Styela clava: one gene and its partners. The protein of the gene in region 2 purifies or fractionates together with the protein of the main gene of each other region. This does not show direct contact. Links are inferred from orthologs where the notes say so. Each region holds a gene or a part of one and is shown on either strand. Other genes may lie near its edges.

Region 1 (7,801 bases), on a different chromosome or scaffold from region 2:
TACCTGTACAGTTAGTACTTCTGGTATTACTTTCCTATGAAATTTGAAAAATTTACAACAAATATCTATACAACATTTCTAAAATAACTTATCAGTGTCTATTCACCATCACCAAATAATAATCTTTATAACCCATACAAAATTCAATCTTGTTGATTGAGGCGAGAAATTTAGAACAGAATAGCAGGTTTAAAAATAATTAAAATATTATCATATTATGTCCGATAACAACCACTGACAAAAGAATATCCTAATGCAAAACACCCAACATAAGCAGCGGATCACATGGTAATTTTCATTTTTAACATATAAATCAAGTCAAGTCAGGGCAGTTTCTAGCAGGGAGTACATTTCTAATGTTATCAAAACAAGAGTTGTTGTGGGCATGTTAACAATAATTTAGGCATTTAAAATGATATGGCCCAAAATAACATCAAAAGATTTTCATAATATGATCTGCCAATCAACTGCTACAAAGAAGGCATAAGATAATCAGAATGACAAAGTTTATGGTACCCCTGCAAGTGTTTTGTAATAGGTATTGGAAGCTGCAATGATTTACGGCTCAACAGAATGTCCCGACAACAACACAAAAATATTGATTTGCATCGATGAAAATTGATTTCATTTTTCATATGTCTCACAATTATAATACTAATCATTTCTTCAGCCCTCCACCACCAGCTTGCAATGTTTTACCAGCTCCACTTAGAACAATATAAGGACTTGCTTCGCTTTGTAATTTTTCTTTCATCATTGCTACTGTGTTAAGTGGTGTATCAGTCGAACTCATTTTCAACATCATATCTTCTTCTCCTTTCTTTTTTTGTCGTTTTTCGAGTTTCATTTTACCCGATCCTTTGCCGTGAAACCTGTGAGATAATTTTCTGAAAGCTTCTTTTGGATTCATTAATCGACCTCCTTCATCAACATACTCGATAGTTACTTTAGGTTTATAATTTTTCTTTTCTTCAAAATCCATTACAATTCCACGATCGTAGCGATTACTACGGTCTTTCGAGTATTTTTCGTGAGCGTATTTATCCAAATGATCAACTGCGTTTTTGTCTTCAATGGAATAGTTTGCAGAAAGCAGGTCAATATTTTTACTAGTTATTGTGACTGAGCTTTTTGGTTTTTCTTCCATCAGGTAACCCTTTCTCGTGGCTAGTTTTAGTGCACCGGCTAAGCCGCCTACAGCAAGAGGCTCGGCTTCAATAGGTGCATGTCTATCATCGACAGGTTCTGCCTGTGTAACTGGCTTAACTTTGGCTTTATCGTTCACAAAATTCCATCCTGACGTAACTTCTTCTTCTTCTTCATCTTCCACGTCCATATCAACGCTGTCGTCCATGGAAGTCTCTTCCATAGGCACTTCTTTAATAACATTCAAATCTGAGGCGGTTCCGAGCTGACGACAAAATTCATCAGTTGAATTTAAAGATATAGTTGTAGAATAATTGGCCATTGGATTTTCAAATGAAACTTTATTTAAAAGGTCTAAATGTTCGACGACTTTACTGGCACCGACATCCTCAGTAACCATGTTTGATTTAACCTGTTTTGCCCGTCTTGCTTTGTCCAATGCTTTTTGAAGTTCATTACTGGCATCATCCTCGTCAAAAATGACATTTTTCTTCGAATTCATTAAAGTTGTAGATGTTATACTTGTGTCATCCACTTTTGCAGATTCAATACCTTCATCCCATCCAGGTATATTTCCTCGTTGATTTCGACTTCTAGAACCAAAATCAGATGATGTTGAACTACCCGGTAGAGGTTGTAGATCGTCTGGTTTTAGATCACGTTTTCTTACTTTTCGCACTTTCTTTTTTCGTTTTTTGAACTTTGTCATTTCCTCTTCAGTCAAATATTCAGATGCAATTTTGAGTTGAGGGAGTGCTAAGCTGACTCCTTTAGCTTTAATTTCATTTTTCATCATCATTTTTTGTTGTTCCCAAGTCGTATCAACTTTTCCATAATTACCGATAGTAAATTTCTCTTGCTTGATTCCTTCAATTTCTTCATCATATTTCGAAAGCATAGACTTTTGTTTAAAAAATCCCATTTCATCAACCTCTTCCTCATCATAAGCTTTGTATCCAGAACCTTTGGACTTCACGTCCAAATTTCGTTTTGCTTTTTCAGTATCAACCAAGTTTACACCAACAAGAACATCATCCTTATCTTCTTCAAGTATATTTTTATCTTCGAGAGTCAAAATTTCTGATCTTCCTTCTTTGAACATTTCTAAGGAGTGTTTTACAGTAATGCCTTGCAAATCACGAGATGTGTATGAGTCTTTCTTTACATCGGCAAATTCATTGTCTATTAAACCACCAATACCAAATTCTGCATCCATTTTAGCCATTTCTTGTTCTCGTTTTTCAGCCACCTTTTTTTGTTTTTCCATTTTTCTACTTCTTTCTACCCAAGATACCGCATCATTTTCATCTTCATTTTCTTCTCCCAAAGTCTTGATTTTCCCCATTTTTTTGTTTAAGTTTCTTTTTTCTTTAATGGCTCGTAGTTTTTCTCTAATATCATCCTGTTTTTTCTTTTCCCACAAATCTTCAGCAGGAGCATGAACAAATTCTTCTTTCTTTGATTCGGTTGCATTACCGGAAGATCCACCGACGTCGAGAGGTTTGAGTCCCAGTTTTAACCTCAACTTATTTGTTTCTTCAATACTGAGTGAGTCACCTTCGCCATTAGCTGATGTTGGAGTGGGTTCAGCATGATGTTGTCTTGACTTACCATTACGTTCAGATTCCAACTTTTGGGGGGATTCAGAATCTCGATCTCGTTCACTTTGTTTCTTGTGTTTTTTCTTATGTTTTTTTTGTTTAGAATATGATTTTTCTGTTTCTACATCGTCATGACGTCTTCTTTTTTTTTCTTCTGGACTATGACTTTCATCTCTCTCTTCATCATCATATGCAGGACTTGAACGCTTGTGCTTTCGATGTTTATGGTCTTTCTTATGCTTTTTAGATGATCCCATCGTATTTATTATAATTAAGAATTAACCTGTAAATATTAAAGTAACAGTTCGTTTATTCAATTAAGGCTAGGCCACATATGGATAGTAAATCAAAAATGTAATACATACATCAATGACGTACCAAATTCAACAGTATTACAATGCATTTTTTTTTAATATGCCCAACAAAGTTTTTAACATTCGCATGAAATTGTTATATTCGGCAACAGGTCTCAAATCGATGATATCATTTTGTTGGGCGAAGTTTCCATCAAAATGAATGAATATTCAATTTCAATATTATTGATATACTTTAAAATTGTGAAATAACCATTCACAAAACTTGCCGTCTCGTTCCATGCATTAATTTATTTCCTTTTTTTATACTTGAAAATCTGAGAATTTATTGACATTACAACAAATAGATGCTAGTTCAACTCATTTGGTCCAAAGTTAAACATGATAATATACAGTGTTTTTGTATGAAACCAATACAAATGAAAATCATTGGAATAACATTAATCGTTCCACGTTGATTCATTTTTGTATACTACACTTGTAAAAGAGTATAATTATATGTTAGTTCACTGATCAACTACACATTCCTCAAACTTGCAAAAGTATCAATAGAAATGCAGTATGGTACAGTTCTCCAATTTCAAGAATAACCCCAACATTAGAAGACATCAATTATACCAGTGAATGCAAACCGCTCCTTTATGAGACAGTCTGGGCCTCCATATCGCCAAACTGGCACTGTGCAAATAAACTGAAGGATACACAATCTGAAAATGTCACCATTGACCATTGGATTCCCAAAAATAATACAATTTACCAAAAAAAAAAAATTTTACTGTAGGATTCAAGAGTTTTTAGCAAAAAAATGTTGACAGAAATATTTTGGTCACATGATGGCAGACACACGTAAAATTATTATCGAGACAAGCATGGCGCAAATTACCGCCGTACCAGACACCCTCGTTACAGAGACAAATAGAGTGTTAGTTTTATTGAACCAAATATAGACAGATCTTGGCATCAGGAGACTGTGCTCTATTGGAAATGACTTTCATGATCTATATCTGAGAATTGGTTTAAAATGTAATGCATCAAGTCAATGGGAAATATCAAAATAAGCAGAATTTATTATCGGCGCCTGTTTACAGATTTAATATCTTTTGATGAAAGTTTTAAAACTCCATCCTTATATTTTCCAATTTGCGGATTCAAACTTTTATCGCCTTGTTTCCAGAATTTCGGCATGCCACTCGTCTTTTCTTTATATTCGGTTCTATTGTTCGACAATATATTATTGCCAGAACTTGTATCTTGTTTCAATCTTTTTTGTTCTTCCATGAGAATTTTATAATTAACATATTTCCGTTTTGTCGGTTTTGCTCCAAGTTTTATTGCTCTTTTTCTTTCATGTTCTCTCTGTTCTTCTTTCGAAAATGCCTTCATTCCAAACGAGCCAACGCTGAATTTTAATTTTTCTAAAACTTCCGAAGAATTTAGTCTTTCATTTGTATATTTAGACTTTGGAATATTGAACTGTGAGTCTGTACCAACAATAGTTGGTGATGCTTTTTTTATTTCCGGTTCTTCATTTTTAGTTTTTTTACTTTTAAATATGACAATTTCAACTTCCTTTTTTAATTTATTATCATTTTCCTCTTTCGTCATCACCGTGGATGGAATTATGGGGGTATTGGGTTGTGTTTCTTTAGGCTGTGTTTCACCTAAAAATTCTGAAGCATATTTATCCAAAATACTTAAAATTTTATCATTATCTGCTTCCTTCATGGACACTTTGTCCTTTATTTCCATCTTATGGCGCCTACGTTTAGTCATTTTCGCGATTCAAGCCTGAAAAATAAGAGAAACAGTACCGTAAATGATATGAAATTAGATGATACATTTTTGTTATAAATTGATTTCAAAATTTGTCTGTATGTCACTTGTGCACATAAATTTGTGTGTTTCCATGCCACTGGAGCCCTTTAAAAATCGAAATTTACACCACTGCGACATACAGGTACCCTACTGCCCTCTTGAAGCGTTGCACTAGAAAGTACCGTAGTCCTGTAGTTGAGCTGTCCGCCTCCCGTGCAGAGCACTGTACTGAGCAGCGGGCCCCCATACTGAAGTATGTATTCAGCTATCCCTAGTCCTTTTACACCATTCGTTTTCAAACTGGGGTCCGCGGTCGCTTAGGGGTCCGTGAAGCGATTTTAGGGAGACCGCGAGACAGCGTTAATCTCGGCACAGAAGCACTTTGATCTGAAGTAAAGTTTTGATGTCTTGCTTTTACAGTGTTTCTACAAAGCATGACACGCTCTAACAAAGACATTATTACTGTGTTACGTAACAAATGTTGGGGAAAGTGGCAAGTACCGTAAATCGGAGTGTGTGGTTTATGGAAGGCGCGCGCATCTGATTAAAAATAAGACCCGCGGCCCGCCATAAAAAATAAATTTAGATATAACAATTCATATGTGAAATTTGGTTTTGCTGTGATAGTTCTGGAGGAAAAAAAGACCATAGTTGGACCGTCCAATCCCGATGTCACTAAAACTGCTTCATTCCATTTGCAACAACTTACGAATGTGCGGGCATCTTTTTCTATGTTACTCACTATTAAAACAAGATATGAGAGTTGCATTATCCAAAACAGAACCCAAGGTAGACTAACTAGTGGGAGCTGAGCAGGCGCACACATCTCATTGAACACTCTTAATGTCATTCAATAGATGAATGCTTGATATACTGCGTTGTTATAATTTCTTTGGTGGACCACGAGTCATCAGAAAAATTGAAAGGGAACCGTTATGCATTATTTTTCAAAAAGTTCGAGAACCACTGTTCTACACAATCCGTAGCCTGGTGGTAGGTACCTACTACAGCTACAATCGTGACAATCAATCAGCCGTTCACCTACACAGTGTCACCGTCTACATTAGGTTGTGGTAACGTGTATTTGAGCTTGAGACAAAACAATAAAATTTACAACATCACATTTTAGGATTTAGTTTCGCTCACGATGAACTGTCATTCACACAAAAAACTGAAATATATTTATCTGCACCAAAGTGACTAGCCTATAGTCATTTTGATTTGCACTCCTGCTTGTCAAAAAAACGGAGTCATGCTGCTCGGAGTCCTGAATCCCTCTGTGATCAGCACCGGTGTGCATTTGGTGATGAAATATAAAAAAAATATTCACGAAAATTGACCCACGCCTCTCAGTCCAGATCAGTAGTGAAAGCAATTTAGTGTTTTTCAGTTTATGTTGAAAATGTTGATTCTGACCGCCATGTATCTGTTTATGGAAATCTGAACTGAGACACCGAGGGTTGTGAAATTTCTGTTCCGGTTTCAACTCCATTAATGGCAAAAAATATCCGATCCCGAATCCACATATTGTGTTTTATTATGTAACAATTATTCCATATATACATATGTTAACTTCGTCATGGAGGGTTTTTATTTTGTCAAATTTTATATACGATAAAAATATTATTAACTGTGAAAAAAGTATTGCAACTAAAAATGGTAAACTGTTAATCCGCATGATGAAGAGGTGGAAATTTACAAAAAGCTCGTTTTTTAAGTGCAATGATATTTACGTAATATTGTGTTTATATAAATGTGATGTTTTTATTATAGTAAAAAAATCCACAGCCCTGGATATAGAAAATAGACAAAAATCGATGTAAAAGATCAAGCTGAGTACGTAAAACTTTAACAGCTTATGTTTCGTGAGTATACACAAGTGGATACATAAAAGTCATTTCGTTTTGTAGTGACTTTATGAGTGTGGGTTGTGCTATGCAGTGGTTCTAAACATTTGCAAGCCTTCCGAACACCTGGGCTATTCTGCAAGCCAGTATGTTCCCCAGCTTTTCATTTTAGGGGGGGGGGGGTGTTTCGAAGTTTAGGGGGTGGAAAATAATTTGCTATTGCGATGAAACTATTTGTACTTTCAAAAAATTGGTATGTATTTAAGAAACAATGTACATGAGGGGGCTCCCAAGTTGATTGACGGCGAGCCAAAATACACAGCAGAATAAAAATGTAGGGCCAGAAAAGGCGAGCGAAAAGTGCGCGACGACACGGCTGGGGTTCACGGCTGAAAATTTTGAGAAATAGGCACCAAAATAGGTTCTAAGCTTGATTTTAGATACATCTAGCATCGCAGTTTGTTATGTAATGAAATTAATAATTATAATATTTAGCTGATAGAATTCCCGAGGAATAAATAACAAGCCCGGCTTTCAGCAAGTAATTTACGACTTATAGTGACTAATGAAGTTACCTGCTCATCTAGCATATGGCATCGTATGAATGGCTACTTATGGCTTGTTTTGTTACACATTTCACATTTTTTGAACATGATCGTTTGACTTTTGTACGAATCAAGCGATGAATTAAATTTCGAAATACGCGCGTCAACTGATCATAATGGCGCATAATGTTGTATTCCTTCAGAACTGAAATTTTAGGGGGTGTGTTCACCCCCTATAGGGGGGGGGGGTGTTCACTGCTGCATTCTTCTGCCGAACCTCATATTATTGAACATTTCAATTAGCGCAATCGGAAACTTATAATAAGTAACCTAATTTTTTGTTATATATCAGTGGTTCCTACCCTAGAGGATTTTAGCACTCGTGACCTCTTGTTCACCATCTCAAAAATACGAGCATGCGTTGCGCCGTAAATATATACTACTGCGGTTGCGCACATTCTAGATAGGCCATCTCGATTTACTTTGATAAAAGCAAAGTAATTGTCGTTCTATTTTCGTTTCTTGGGAATATT
Region 2 (6,976 bases):
TTTTTCAAACTCGCTGTATTAACACTTTATTATATGTACTACTACTGGTGTTTTGTAAATGTGGGGCCCATAACTGCAAGACACTCATTTTTTGGGGCAAAAGAGGTATTTTGGCCATTTTTCTCATAAATTGACTATCGGGCCATGTTTATGCGATAATAAAAATATCTTCCCCCCATACAAACTTTTTCAAACTCGCTGTATTAACACTTTATTATATGTACTACTACTGGTGTTTTGTAAATGTGGGGCCCATAACTGCAAGACACTCATTTTTTGGTGCAAAAGAGGTCTTTTTGCCATTTCTATCATAAATTGACTATCGGGCCATGTTTATGCGATAATAAAAATATCTTCCCCCCATACAAACTTTTTCAAACTCGCTGTATTAACACTTTATAATATGTACTACTACTGGTCTTGTGTAAATGAGGGGCCCGTAATTGCAAGACACTCATTTTTTGGGGAAAACTAGTTCCTTTTGCCATTTTTTTTCAAAAATTGACTATCGGGCCATGTTTAAGCGATAATAAAAATATCTTCCCCCATACAAACTTTTTCAAACTCGCAGTATTAACACTTTATTATATGTACTACTACTGGTCTTTTGTAAATGTGGGGACCGTAATTACAAGACACTCTTTTTTTGGAGCAAAGAGGTCTTTTTGCCATTTCTATCATAAATTGACAAGCGGGTCATGTTTAAACGAGAATAGAAATATCTTCCCCCCATACAAACTTTTTGAAACTCGTTGTATAAACACTTTATTAAATGTACTACTGTTGTTTATGTATAAATGGAGAGTTATGATTGTAAGACACATCTTTTTGGAGGCAAAGTAGGTCTTTTTACCAATTTTATTAAAAATTGACGACTGGGACAGGTTTAAACGATAGTAAGTATCTCTTCCACCTATCCAATATTTGTCAAACTCGTTGTGTTTACTTCCCATTATAAACACTTATACTTGTCTTTCTTATACTAAGCGGATATATTTGTGAGACACTTATATTTTGGGGAGAACTGTGATTTTTTGGCAATTATTCACAGTTTTTATGATTAATCTGGCAACGCATAAAGCATCAGCTGATTTTGCATCGATGCCTTTTTCGTAAACTCTCGCATCGCTCGATTGAAATCTGAGTTCTGGCAACAGTGATCGGGGCGTTCAAAAACGAGAGAGATGTCTGCTGAGAGATGTCTGCTAGGGTAACTTTGGTTATACTTACCGGTATGCACCCCCTTTGGAAAATTTCAAAAATAGCCTAAATAAATCCCTTTCCTTAAAGAATGCCAAAATATAGGATTAGGACAGGTTAGGGTTGACAAGCAGTCGGTTGATTAACGTTTAGATTAATACGATACAGTAATACAGGTTTCTATCCATGAACTGCCGCTACCTTTACTACTATCTGACTATACCAGCTGCCTAATCCAGTAATCACTAATTTAAGTTAACTTAGTCTATAAAAAAATCTTTTTCGCTCTTTCTGCTCAAGAATTTGGATCAAGTTGATTTCTATAGTCCTGATGCTGATAATCTGTTTCTATCATGTTCCCCCTATTTCAGTATTTGTAAATTACAAAAAAACTTACATTAGATTAGATTAGTTCGTGAAACTCGGAGGGAGGGAGAGAGTTTATTTCTGTATTTGTTTTGTCCACCAGCAAACATATACACACAGACACAACAAAAACATAATTAATAGAAAGCCAAATACTGAAATAGTTCTCGGTACAGACTGGGTGGCAACGATACGACCATGCGGCCATCGTATAGACAGTTACCACTAAATACTGCAATATAAATTTCAATAAACATGAATAAAAAGTGCTTCAGATATCAGGATATAGTTTAACATATCTCAGGTGTCAGGGTGTGTCCAAAAACAACATTAAATTTCCATATAAAGAAAAATAAAATATATTAGTTACATTTAAGTTAAGCGTTAAAAGCTAAATAAAATGCCAGACAAGTTGCACATTTTATCAAGTGGGGCATTGGCCGAATTTGACATTAATATATATTTTTGAGTAAATGGCAGAATTTCAATTGTGTCTGTGTGTGGAATCGATTAATTCAGGGGTGCATGTTCACTAAACACTGTACTTCTAGTTGGCGTGGCAGGAACATAATATTTGCATATGTTATTCCTAACCCACACCTGGTTGCATCATCCAAAAATTATGTCACTACGCTGTCATAGAGCTTGCCAAGGAAAAGCTACAATCGCCTGAAATGGCATCTCTGCCAACGATAACGAACTCGCTAACGCCAGCGAGCTCTCTCATATATCGGGATCTTGATGGCGTTTAGTGAACTAGCCCCACTTCAAGTCTGCTAGTTGTGGAATACACAAAAACATCTTGTGTAAATGTTGAAAGACCTAAGGCAGCATATATACAGATATATAAAGCAGGCCTGCACAACTCAAATTATCACGAGGGCCGCAAGCATAAATCTGAAGGCCCGGCGGGCCGCAAACTTTGCCACATACATATTTCACAAGATGAACTGCAAATCAAAATGATATTGTGAAACAGTTAAATTTAATGAAACACTTTCATTACTGGGGAGCTTTAAAATATGAGGAATCTTATTTTCTTGAGTAAAAACAAGGTGCAGTATTTTTGCATATGAGATGGCAATTACGGTATGTATTTAGTGGTTCATCTACCTTGAAAACTCACCCTTCATTTTCAATATTTCTTTTTTATTAGAATTAGGTATTGCGTGTTGCAGTATAAACTGATTGCAGATAAAAATTATATTCAGGTTCAGTTTTTTAAAATCGTCCCAAATATCTGTATGACAATTTATTTAGTCATAAATACCATTATTAGATATTTCCATTGTAGGCTAGACAAACAATCCATTTAGTAGCAATAGATCTTCCTCTGTTGTACATTTTCGACTGTTAAATTACATTTTTCTACAAAATCTGATCCGATTTATTTGAAATTTTACAGTAAATAGCAATATTTTTTGTGCGAGAATTTCTGCACCATTCATAAATGAAGGAATTGTTTTTCAAGTTCTAAATTCGAATCAAAAGAGAAACTTCAGTTTCATAAACTGCTAGTAAAAAATAATGGGTTATTAATAGGTTGCTAATATGCACTAATGGGTGTGAGATTGTATACCGATATTGTTTTGAGCGTGATTCAGTCTGGATACTGAGATATCGAAATCAGGGTTTCCCAAATTGGGGGGCGAGGGGACGAGAGAGGAATTTTAGAGGTCACGCAGGGCACACCAGTTTCACACAAAGTCTGATATTTATTGAAACTATTGCAAAACATAAATCTCTCGATTTCGAATATGATCGGGGTAGCGGCGCGCTTGCATAACAATGCCGGCTTTGATTGTTAGACACGAGAAGTGGCGTGTTTCTAAATCACCTGTGGGCCGCACAGAAGTATCTAACGGGCCTCATGCGGCCCGCGGGCCGTATGTTGTGCAGGCCTTATATAAAGACATTAAAAAAATCGCTACAGATTAACAAGATAAATTTTGAGGCAAATTGCACAGACATAGTATAGTGGGTGATAATATAATCCAGCAATCTGTCGATTGGACAGAATGAGATGTGTGTCACTTGAGAGGATTTGTAGGAGCGGCGCTCCTACTTATTAAGCGATCCTCGTCAAAAGACCTTCATTCGACAGAGGGCGATATCAATTTATGTAATTTATTACAGCGATCGCAAGATGTTGTACGAGATTTGGGAAAAAACTGAAAATTCTGATTTATAAATTCCATAAAAAATATTTCACGCTGCGTCAGAAGTTATGTCGATCTCGCGTAGATCATTTTTTGCTAACTTCCGAGACTACGTCACTGTTGATTTTGTTTGTGCCAATAAAATCTCTCTCTTAATTTTCAGAATTGAGTTCATATTTAACTTCGAATGTCATACTGGTACTGGTGTCAATAAATAGACATGAAGACGCAGAAATCAAAAATGAAAGAAAGTAGTGATTCTGATTCTTTAGCAGAAGAAATAGCTCCAAAGGTGAAGAAAAGTCATAAACATAAGAAAAAACACAAAAAGAGAGCTTTAGACCATGAAGACCCTGTTGATGGTGTTATAGAAATCAGCGATGATGAAAAATCTTTAAAATCAAAAAAGCATAAACATAAGCATAAAAAAGCAAAGAAACATTCTTCCCGTAAGCGAGAATCATCATCGGAAGCAAGCGATGATGAACAATCGAGTAAAAAGAGAAGAAAAACAAAAAGTTCTGATGAAATTATTGAAGAAAATGGAAAGACTGAACAGAATGCATCTACAACGACTGGTTTTGATGGAGCATTATCAGATTTAGAGCAGCAAAAAGCTTTATTACAGGCTGCTCTCATGAATAATGTAGAAGAAGGAGAGGTTTCTGATGATGTTCAAGCAGATGGAGCAGGTAAATTACATTTTGCAGTAGAGTAATTTAATGTTTTGATCAACTTTTTATCAGTAGATCACACTTCTCCTTTACGAGACAGTCTGGTGGCTCCATATCATCGCAAATCAGTACTGCTCAATATACCGAAAGGACAAGCATTCTAAAATGCCATAAAATAATTTGATTTACAGAACGAAAACAAATTCTACCGTAGTATTCAATAGTTTCTAGCAAAAAACAGTTCACATGAGAGGATTTTGGTCACATGAAGTTTTGCACATGCTGCAATTGATTTATATTATTAACGCAAGAAACATGGCATGGTCTTGCAACTCTCCGCCATGCCAGACATCCTCGTTTCTGAGATAAATAATGTGTTTGTTATAAATATTACAATAAATATTGAAGTCTTGCCGTAGAGCACTCTGCTAAATTTTTTACACTGTTTTGGTTAGATGTTTTATTGTGATTGAACATTTGTCGTGCAGTGTTCAAACCTGTCTTTTCGATGACCATCTTACCATACATTCGACCATCAAACATCCGTTCAGTGATCCATGAATTTGTAGGCGTGTTGTAAATGAATAATCTGTGTTTTTAGTTAATATACACAGCGCAATTGACATTTTCTTGTAGTATTTCATGAATCACAAGCAAAATGATGAAAAACATAGGATTCTCTTTTAAAGCAAAATTGTTGTTTTTGGTAGAAATAGAAGCAAATGGTGAAGAGGAAGCAATACAAGATGATGATGATGAGAAAACTTCTACTAAACCAACAAAAAAGAAGAAAAAGAAAGATAAAAAAGATAAAAAGAAAAAGGAGAAAAAAGAGAAGAAATCAAAATCGCCACCTTCGATTAAAAGGGTTGAGAAACAAGTTGTCTCACCTACCAAACACAGTTCTAATGATGCAAGAGAAACAGAACATTCCAGAGCCAGGTATGAATTGATTTGTTTGGAAATTATTACTTGATTTAAGCTTATTAGTATAGTATGAGTTTCTGCGTATAGTATAGTATCTTGTGATTTTTATCTAGTACAGTTATGACAACTTTGCATCAGGGTATGTGTTACTTTATTACTTCGCATTTCTTCTGTATTCAAGATTCGCAATTCGCATGAGTGTACATATTTTTGTCAGGCATTATGAAGAGAGTCGTGACTCTAGAAATGATCGTTTGCTTGAAAGAAGAGATGATTCTTATGCAAGACGTTCTCATACTCATCACTCAGATAGAGATAGATTACATCGCTCGGGGTAAGTCAGAAATTATTCCAAAATTGGTAAACTTCCCCCTCAAACCCATCCTAGGCACAAGAAATTTATAAACAGGAAAATATCTACTGGTAACAGTTCCAAATAAGCCTCATTTTAATAAGCTATGATTCTATTTCTGACAGTTTCTCTGTAACCATTTCCATGAACATTTTTACTTCAAAGTTTCCCATTTATAAGATGTATGCATTCATATACATATAAATAGTGTGTTGAACTTGCCAAAACAAAAAAAAAATAAACATTTATCTCACTTTTTATTTTAGTGAAACTCGCAGAAGATCGCGTAGTAGATCGAGGGATAAAAGAGATTATCAACATTCGTCATCAAGTAGACCTAGCCATTCGTCATCAAGAAGAAGGTCAAGGTTAGAGCAATAAAATAGTTCCCTGTCATTCATTAATAACCTGTCAGGTTGTGCGCCATTTAGGTACACATACTTCGGGAGCTCCGAATTAAGGATATTAAAAACAATGTCATGGTACTTCAATATCTAAATAATTTAAATTTTTGTTTTTTCGACGCTTATTCATATTTTTTGCTCCGAACAAGCCTTGTACAATCATATACTGATGTTGTATAATATGTAATGAGCTACTATTTTTGGAATCTTAATTCGGCATCACCTATCCAATTTATTATACTCTGGGTGAAGGGGTGGTAATGGAATTTGAACCACTATGAGTGTATTAGAATCAACATAGTTAGGTCTAGCACTTTAACAACCACTCGGTCATCAATCCCTAGCCTATCTATTTAAATTCACGACAGATTGACGTCACATTTTATTATGTTGTGACCAATTCTTTCAATAGGAATTGTCACATTATTTTATATAAACAGTAATTATGTACTTGCTAATATTATTTTGGACGAATATTACCGGTAACTGATTATTCTTTTTTTTCTTCACACTTTATTTTCATTTTTTAGTTGACATGAAAAATTGTCCAAAATAAGTGCAAATGACTGTCTAGTTTTATGGGACATGTGTGTATCCTTCATATTGGTGGCTAACATCGAACAGATCCACTAACTTTGATTCAATAAATGGCCATGTCTTCAATTTAATCAATCAAAATTCCCAAGTACTGCTCATCTAAGGAAAGGATATAAAGAATACATTGCGAAAATTAAACAAATTTAATTTTTCAGGTCACGTCATCGCTCCCGTAGTAGAGACAGGCCCATGCGAAGATCTCGATCTAGAGATAGAGATGGAAGGAGACGAAGAGATGATGACAGGTATATTAATTAAATAAATACACGAAATAAAATAAACTTAGTTTTGTTTGGG
Region 3 (7,950 bases), on a different chromosome or scaffold from region 2:
CGATTATCACACGCGAAAGGATTGCTGGACTCGTCTTCGCAGTAAGATACAGTCGTTTCCGTATCCCAGTGGTCGGCAAAATACAGCCGCCGAAGTAAAATAATCAGTCACGGGACGCTCCACTGAATGGACCGTTCCCCGACCTTCGACCCCGGGAAATTTTTCCTATACTTTACCATTTTAAAATTTTCGGTGCGTATTTTAAGAGTGGTTTTGCGAGTTGTTGCCTGTAAAACAGGGTATTTGTTTCAAACTATCATTCTAATTCATACCATTCAACAATCTGTTTTTTAAAAGTACCAGTAAAGAATTTTAGCCTAGTCTATCAAAGATATTTCTACACCAAATTTTTGCCTACTGTAAATAAACTGAAACTTCTGGGAAGACAAAGTGATCATTGACTTAAATTATTTATATTTAAATTTCCGAAAAATAACTAAAAACTAACAAATATAATTCAGAAACGCGAAAATGAGGTACCGGTAATTTTCACGACCACGCCTGAAAATCTGTCTGAGTGAGAAATGTGTCTGAGCGGATGCAAAAGGGGGCATTGTTCCGTTTATTTTTGCATCTTGCTGAAAGGCCAATGTCACGAAGTAAATAAGGAAGTCTATGCCCGGGGAAACATCCAAACGGCGGTTTTGGCAATGAATTAATTTCATTTACAATCTACGCTCGAGGAGTAAATTACATTTTCTTGTGTAACAGAATTTATCGTGAGGCACGATTAGACAAAATTTTATTATATTCTTAAAATTATATTAAACAGCTTCTCGTTTAACGAGCCTTCAATTCAATTATAATTAGACAATTGGAAACATGCAGAAAAGTTGATGCTGAGTGCAGGGGTTCAATAGCGCAGTAAATATTAGAATATATTGCAATGCAATAATGAAATAAAATTCATATTCTATTCGAGGGATTCATCACTGCCTAATTTTTGTAAGAGTGTATCTTAAAGAAAATCTTTATCAAAATTTGACAAACCATTACAAAAGGGGTTTTCATCTGTGCTACTATTGCTATCAAAACAACGAAATCGCCTTTCCTTCAGTAAACAGGTAATTTTAGATATTATAAAAAACTCGCTGAAGAACACCAAGCTCATCCATCTCATTAAAAAATACTATAAACTATGATTTGTCTCGTTATTCGGTCTGTAATATATTCGTTTCAGACTTTACATTTTTTTTCGCAGTGCCGGGGGGCGATGAACTTGTATAAACTACTGTAGGGGGGCGATGGTACAAAAAGTTTGGGAACCACTGGTCTAATGCAAACTTTACTCCTGGATTTCATCAGCAAGTTGTACAAAATGAAGTATAACCTTAATTTGAATGCCCGTCCAAATAATGTAAATGTGTCCCCGATCAGTCAAGCAAATTTCTTTTCATAATTTTTATGGGATTGAAAAATAAGTTGTTAGATAAAAGTATATTGTAGATTTTGTAGTCATTCGGACGACAGACTTTGTCGTAGTTTTGGAATTTTTGCCTTTGCCCTTTTGTGCCAAATCTGACCGTGATTCAAGAAGTTCACCAGACCTCCACATCAACAACAGGAATATTGTCCTCAAATATTATGCTAGGAAAATTTAAAAACCGAATAACATTTCCTCAATTAACAACCCTCTCCTCATTTCAAGTTTCATTCGAGTGCAGTTAGGAATGAGCAGTTTGCTACAAAAAGGGTACTACGCCAAGCAGATAACAAAAACTTGGGAGTACAGTTGACGAGTAGACTACTATTCTAGACATACGAGGACATCCACCAATACCTGCTGAACACAGCTAGTTTCTTTCTTGGAGGCTCTGAATCCTGTATCTTTGAAGTTTGAACATCTCTTTCTCGTCTGCAAGTACAGATTAATTTATACATTGACATACATTTCTCAATTAAAATAATTTCACTTCAAAAGAAGAACCATCACTCATCGTGTAATTGAACTTATTTTAGGCTCTAACTTGGTGATTTGACAAGTGAGATCATAATTCACCATCCTGGCATATTGACATCTTGTTACTTTCCATGATGATTAATGTCATGTCCTATATACAGTTGCCTTCTTTCAAAGATGATTGCTCTAAAATTGAATGCTTTGAAAATAACGAGGATAAAACACTCACCGTCCTAAAATGTTTCCAGTCTCTCTGTTGCGAGATGCACCACCAGATAGTCTTCGATTTTCAATATTTGGTCTGAAATCATCATGCAACAACATTGATATTATATGGCCTATTCAACTTTAGTATCATTTAACAACTTTCTAACTAAAGAGCCGATGAAGCTTGAACTGATGACATATAGTGATTTGTCATGGTGCTGTGTATTCCGTACTTTATTATAAAACACCAAATGACTGATGATGAAGTAAAAACTTGTTCATGTGGGTGATGATTTTAAAATAATGTAATTTTGCTTTTATTCAGTTTGCTCATGTTTGCACGTGACAGAGTGAAAAAAAACACACTCACAATGCAAATGGCAGAATGGATAGACAATACAGCGATAGTACAGCGGTAGAATAGGAATATATTTTTTCGACCCTAAACCTAGCAAGTGCAAATCAATTGGTTTACTGAGTTTTATACTCCTGGTCCCAAGGCAGCAAATTTAATTTAATTTTATCCTACCATTCTACCTAATGGAAATTTGAATAAACACTACAGCACTAGGCTTATTTTCATTATTTGCCCACCCACCCAAGAAAACAACAACGTACCAATACTGACACATACCGGTAACAAATAATCCAGAATAATAATGATACAGTGATAACCACAAGAATGAGATTCGAAACACTAATTTTACCTTGGTTCATTTGGGTCCCTTCCTGTTATTTTTTTGATGTTTTCATCTACGCTTTTCAGGTTTTCTTTTGCTTTTTCAATCTGCTCTTTCAAACTATTCAGTGCCAGAGACATTATGCTACTATGCGAGGTGATGAGAATCCTGTATTTCCTAGTCAGTTGCCACTAAAAAGCTGAAACTGTTAAATACATAAAGTACAGAAGTGGAAGAAAGGTGGATAGGATAGGATAGGATTTACATATTTATCCCGGGGGAGAGGAAAGCCGATAAGACGGCTTATCCATATGGCGAACCACGGCCTCTCGTCCGGTTACCATTCCAAGTCGGGTATGGGATTAGTTTTTACTGTATTGTTTGTTTTTCGGAAGCATGGACTTGGTGGTGGAGGAAGCCGTAACCGACCAGCGGTTACGTGAACCACCCAACGACGGCGAGGAGTCCAGCAATCCTCTCGCACATAACCATCCCTGCATGGGATTCGAACCTGCGAACCCACGCAGAGTAATTAGAGGTGCGGTGGCGAGCGTATTCCTAACGCTTAGCCCGTTGAGCCACACCGCCGCGGATAACGTTACATTTTTCAGTTTGCTGTTCCCTGGAAATAGCATCAATTCCAACTAGGCCTGTACCGATATGTAGAATGTAGACTATAATCATATTTTATTAAAAATAACGCTACGGTCTCCTGTGATTTTGCTCATAATATCATTTTAGTTATACTAAATTACGGTACTGAAATAGGCATGTCAGCATGTTGGTACAATAACTGCATAACCTAGGGTCCGCATAATACAGTAATAAAGTGACATGCTTTTGGATGGCGTACCGGTACGGTAGTCAGGTTGGGGTTAGGATTATTATCTGCAAAAAATCGTTACCGGTACCGGTACCAATGCTCTGCCCACCGAAAGTACTTGCTGATTTGAGTTACGACACTACACGCTGACACGAGACCCCGTTTCCGTAGATGGATTCCGAAATTAAAATACCGGTGACGGCTCGCTGCCGCGTCAACACTTTCCGGGAACAACTACCGTACCGGTAAAAAATAAACCAACGACTTACCGGTACCGGTTTGAAGAGAAAAGATGCTTATACTAAAAAGAGGTTTATACGAGTTAACGACAAGTAAATGGATGATAGATGCAGTATGTAAGGTATGTATTGTGCTGATATACGAGGCAGAAAAGGTGCGGGTATCACAAACAGTTAAGTATAGAAGTGCATGCGGTTGAGCACTTTATCAATTCTGCAATAAGACAGATATCGTAGGTATCATCAATGAGATCATGGCATCGTTGACGCTCGACGATGCCGAAGAGGCAAGTGCAGTTTTAAGTATTTCGCGGCATCTGAAGCTGCCGCAAAACCATGGCGGAATCTCCAAACCATGGCCACAATGACCAAACCACGGCGGCTAACTTTCAAGCTGCCACAAACAATGGCGTGAGGCGGGGTACCACGGCAGCAAATTGAAAACCACGGCAGGTGAAATTATACTGCCATGAACCGTAGTTACGCTGCCGTAACCACGGCAAGAGCTGCCGTAACCACGGCAGGAGCTGCCGCGGTTACGGCAGGTAGGAATAACCTGTGGTAGCGAAAGATTTCTCGCCATGAACAGTGGAAGATAGTGGGGAACCTTGTGGTTAATTGCACATTACCACGGCGGGATAACGGGGAGCGCGGCGACAAGTTGGTTGCTGCCATCAACTGAAGAAGCGAGATTAGCATTCAGTGTTGTTTGTTGTTTTGTAATAAGAGTAATAGGGAATTGTTTTGGCGTTACAAATGAAGTCATCCTTGGGTGTATATTGCTTTGAAGTACGGTACCGGTAGGGTGCAGTTGGAAGCAGAGTTGGATCATTTGTAACTGATGGTATTATTTACAGTTTTTTATGTAATTGTAATGTAATGACTGAATGGAGGCATTTTCATTCTGTGTAATCGTAACTGTAATTTGCTAAAATTCTGGCTCAATTACACTTTCAATTAGACTAAATCTTAGTATTTTGAAAATGGATGAACATCAAACAAACTCTTCCGAAACATGTGTTGAACCACTTCTTGCACCATTGTCAAAGTTTTTTAAATCTTTGAGCAGCACTGAGGCAGGCTGTAACAACTTCAAAGAAGGCTTCATCAAACGCACTTGAAGAGATGTTCTCCCATCTATATCTATAAATAGAGGAAAGGACCAAGAAAATCAGAAAGTGATGTAAATAGCTATTTGGGGGAAGAAATTTTGCAATTTGATGAAGACCAATTAATGTATTGGAAGAAGAAATCAGAAAAATTTCCCACGCTGAATTACAGCAACATCAGCCCCGTCAGAAAGAGTTTTTTCAATTGCGGATAACTTTTATACAGCATGAAGAAATTTATTGGGTTCAGAAACTTTTCGCAGCCTAATCTTCATCAAGTGCAATCCAACAGTTCTTGAGCAAGGGAAAATGTAAATACGAACCAAAATGTTATAATTGTAAATGCAGTTTGATATTTTTTGCACGGAGTAATTGTAATGTAATTGAAACATTTAAGGGAGTAGTTGTATTTGTTATTGAACTGAATTAGTGTAATTGATCCAACTCTGGTCAGGAAGTAATGGCTGGTTGGAAGTAAGGTGCAATTACTTCCTCTGGCAATAAATAATGTTGTATATCATTTGCGCTGTGTCTTTTTTAGTCATATTGATTCAAATTAGATCGCAGTACTACCAGAGTAAAATTGTGTCGGTTGGGTTTGATTAAAGTTGCATTTACTCTGCTAGGCGATTCATCTACAGTAGGGGTTCTCAACCTTCTACGAACCGGTACCACTTGAATTTTTCCTTTACCCCGAAAAAGCCACTCTTTGTAAGAAAACGGGAATGGAAGTATTTTATAATGTGGCACTACATCCATTTTTTCAGGGACAAATTATAACCAGTTGCATTAATTATATGCAGTAACAACATATTATTTTATCTTAGTTTCTGATTTCCCAATACAGACAGATAACTTTTAACTTAAAATGAAAACATGCCAGTCTCTCTCGTTTTAGGGGTGTAGTGGCGGGTGAGGGCAATCCGTGAAAACAATAAATGGATTGCATGCGATAAAAAAGAGAGAGGGTAATGCTCTCATAAATTACCCAACATAAGGGTTTGTTGTTGCAATAATTTAAAGCTGATTGCGTACCACAGTTGGCCCCTACAGCTTCTTGCACACTCACTATCTCCATCGTTGACACTGGAATCCTTTTATGACAAAGCCACTTAGATATGTCAACTATTTGTTAAGACAATTCTCGAATATTTCTATAATATTTACAGGCAGATGAGGAACCTCAACTAGCGAACTTCAAATTCCAAAAAAGAAGTATGACATTGTGCATGTTAATAAATTTTATTAAAGAAAATTACACAAAAACTAAGTTTTATGTGCAGTGTTCACAGAAAAACTCTTCGTTACCCGCAAAATCTGCGCAATATTGGTGGCACCACCTTTCGCATCCATCACATTCGACCTACAACAAAATTATTACTTTACTTTATCCATCAAAACTGCATCCATAAGGAAAATGTTTGACCTTACCCAAAGTGTGCCACCATCAGGGGCAGTCCTGCCATTACAGCCCACACAAAAGTGTGCCAGCTCATCAACATCTAAAAGATGAAGGAAAACAAATGTAGGATTGCAAATACCTAACTAATATAGTCATGTTCATGTATATTCCTCCTCAGATTCTAACCAACCGCAAAAATGAGTAAAATTTCTTTGCATACACGATCAATATTGACCTCAATCCGATACTTAATTAACTTCCTTTTCCATTCCATTTTTCAATATCATCAAATTAAAGCTCTGGGCTCTGGTTTTATAACCCACTCAGCCATGTTCAAAAGAAAGTTCTAAATATCATCAAAATATAGCTGTGTGCTACCAACATATCCGTGACCGCATAGATGTTATGGTGCTAGTTGTTACTCGACTTCCAGCACTGCTCTCCACACTTGAATAAAAATGACTTATGCTTAGACCTAGTTAATAAAATAATAATGCACCTGTGGCTTCCAACAGAAGGTCTCCAAAATGGATTCTGTAGACTTTACAGATGCCTGTCGAATGATTGAAATCCGTTGTACAACCTGTTAAGATTGCTTCGGCAGCCTAGAATGTAAAAAAATAAAACAACTCATATTTCTATAGATTTGCACCAATGAGATGATTTAAAAATAAGGTTCCAGTTGAATGGTGGTGGTATCAATATAAAGTACTACTAGTAGTAAATGTTTACTCACAAATATAAATGAAAATTTAAAGATCTACCGTAATGAGCCTGTGTGCATCCTTATCAGTTTAATAATACCACTATAAAAACAAATTGGACCCGATGTACCTTCACAACCAAAATTCCACAATTAAACCCATCTTCTTGTTCACTATGCTTGTTTGTTAACAGTCTCCAATCTCTTTTGTCACCTCCATGGTATTTCCAAAATTTCCTGGGAGAAAACGTAAAAAAAAGAACAGCCCTGATTAGTCCCACAACACATAGGAACAATTTCATTTCTAGATCCTTAACTTTTTTTTTGAAGTGTTCTAAGAACTGCATATTCTTGCTAATATGAGCTTTCATACCTAGCTTGCAATCTCAGTGCAAAAAACTCGTACGATCCATACAGTTTCGGTAATCTGTTTTTGATGTTTTAAAATTCAGATAACACTAGTAGAGATTTGAATGCATGACTAAAACATTGATGTTCTATCGTTGAACTCAATAAGGGCATGATAATTTAAAATGAATCTGTGAGTGTTTACAAGCCAATAATCATTTAGTCAAGCAGAAAACCACAAACCTCCAATTCTCCATCAGCGTTTCAGCATAACTCTCTTCATGGCCAACAGGGTCATAAATAGTGACACTCCCTTGAGATGGATCTGTAATCTGAAAACATGAAACTTTGTTCACAAGAGTAGAAGAATTTCTGGTTTGAAGAGCAATACAATACAGAATATGCCATATTTGTTTTGACGTGATATATTGAAACATTTTGTAATTGCATTTGAGAAGAAAATTTTCCAAAAGAATTTCATTTAAATTAACAAAGATCTAGCAATTTACCTACCATTAGAGTCCAGTGATTGCCATGGT

Evidence for each region. The genes of interacting proteins can lie anywhere in the genome.
Region 1: the proteins of serine/threonine-protein kinase PRP4 homolog (region 2) and U4/U6.U5 tri-snRNP-associated protein 1-like purify together in Homo sapiens (affinity purification with mass spectrometry; 3 studies listed by BioGRID and IntAct, with this or other methods). This does not show direct contact. The link is inferred for Styela clava from reciprocal best matches to the Homo sapiens genes PRP4K and SART1.
Region 3: the proteins of serine/threonine-protein kinase PRP4 homolog (region 2) and uncharacterized protein LOC120326115 purify together in Homo sapiens (affinity purification with mass spectrometry; 5 studies listed by BioGRID and IntAct, counting the BioPlex papers as one, with this or other methods). This does not show direct contact. The link is inferred for Styela clava from reciprocal best matches to the Homo sapiens genes PRP4K and PNN.

Annotation. Positions count from the first base shown.
Region 1 is NC_135255.1:12,625,974-12,633,774, forward strand, and holds the start of U4/U6.U5 tri-snRNP-associated protein 1-like, read right to left. Parts: upstream 3,015-7,801; 5' UTR 3,005-3,014; coding exon 659-3,004; 3' UTR 1-658. Other genes in the region: 40S small subunit processome assembly factor 1-like, read right to left, coding at 4,130-4,834. UniProt on the Homo sapiens protein: Plays a role in mRNA splicing as a component of the U4/U6-U5 tri-snRNP, one of the building blocks of the spliceosome. May also bind to DNA.
Region 2 is NC_135256.1:9,398,420-9,405,395, reverse strand, and holds the start of serine/threonine-protein kinase PRP4 homolog, read left to right. Parts: upstream 1-3,889; 5' UTR 3,890-3,945; coding exon 3,946-4,417; intron 4,418-5,109; coding exon 5,110-5,341; intron 5,342-5,543; coding exon 5,544-5,660; intron 5,661-5,944; coding exon 5,945-6,046; intron 6,047-6,834; coding exon 6,835-6,924; intron 6,925-6,976. UniProt on the Homo sapiens protein: Serine/threonine kinase involved in spliceosomal assembly as well as mitosis and signaling regulation. Connects chromatin mediated regulation of transcription and pre-mRNA splicing.
Region 3 is NC_135253.1:385,599-393,548, reverse strand, and holds the start of uncharacterized protein LOC120326115, read right to left. Parts: upstream 3,015-7,950; 5' UTR 2,928-3,014; coding exon 2,815-2,927; intron 2,202-2,814; coding exon 2,130-2,201; intron 1,856-2,129; coding exon 1,781-1,855; intron 1-1,780. UniProt on the Homo sapiens protein: Transcriptional activator binding to the E-box 1 core sequence of the E-cadherin promoter gene; the core-binding sequence is 5'CAGGTG-3'. Capable of reversing CTBP1-mediated transcription repression.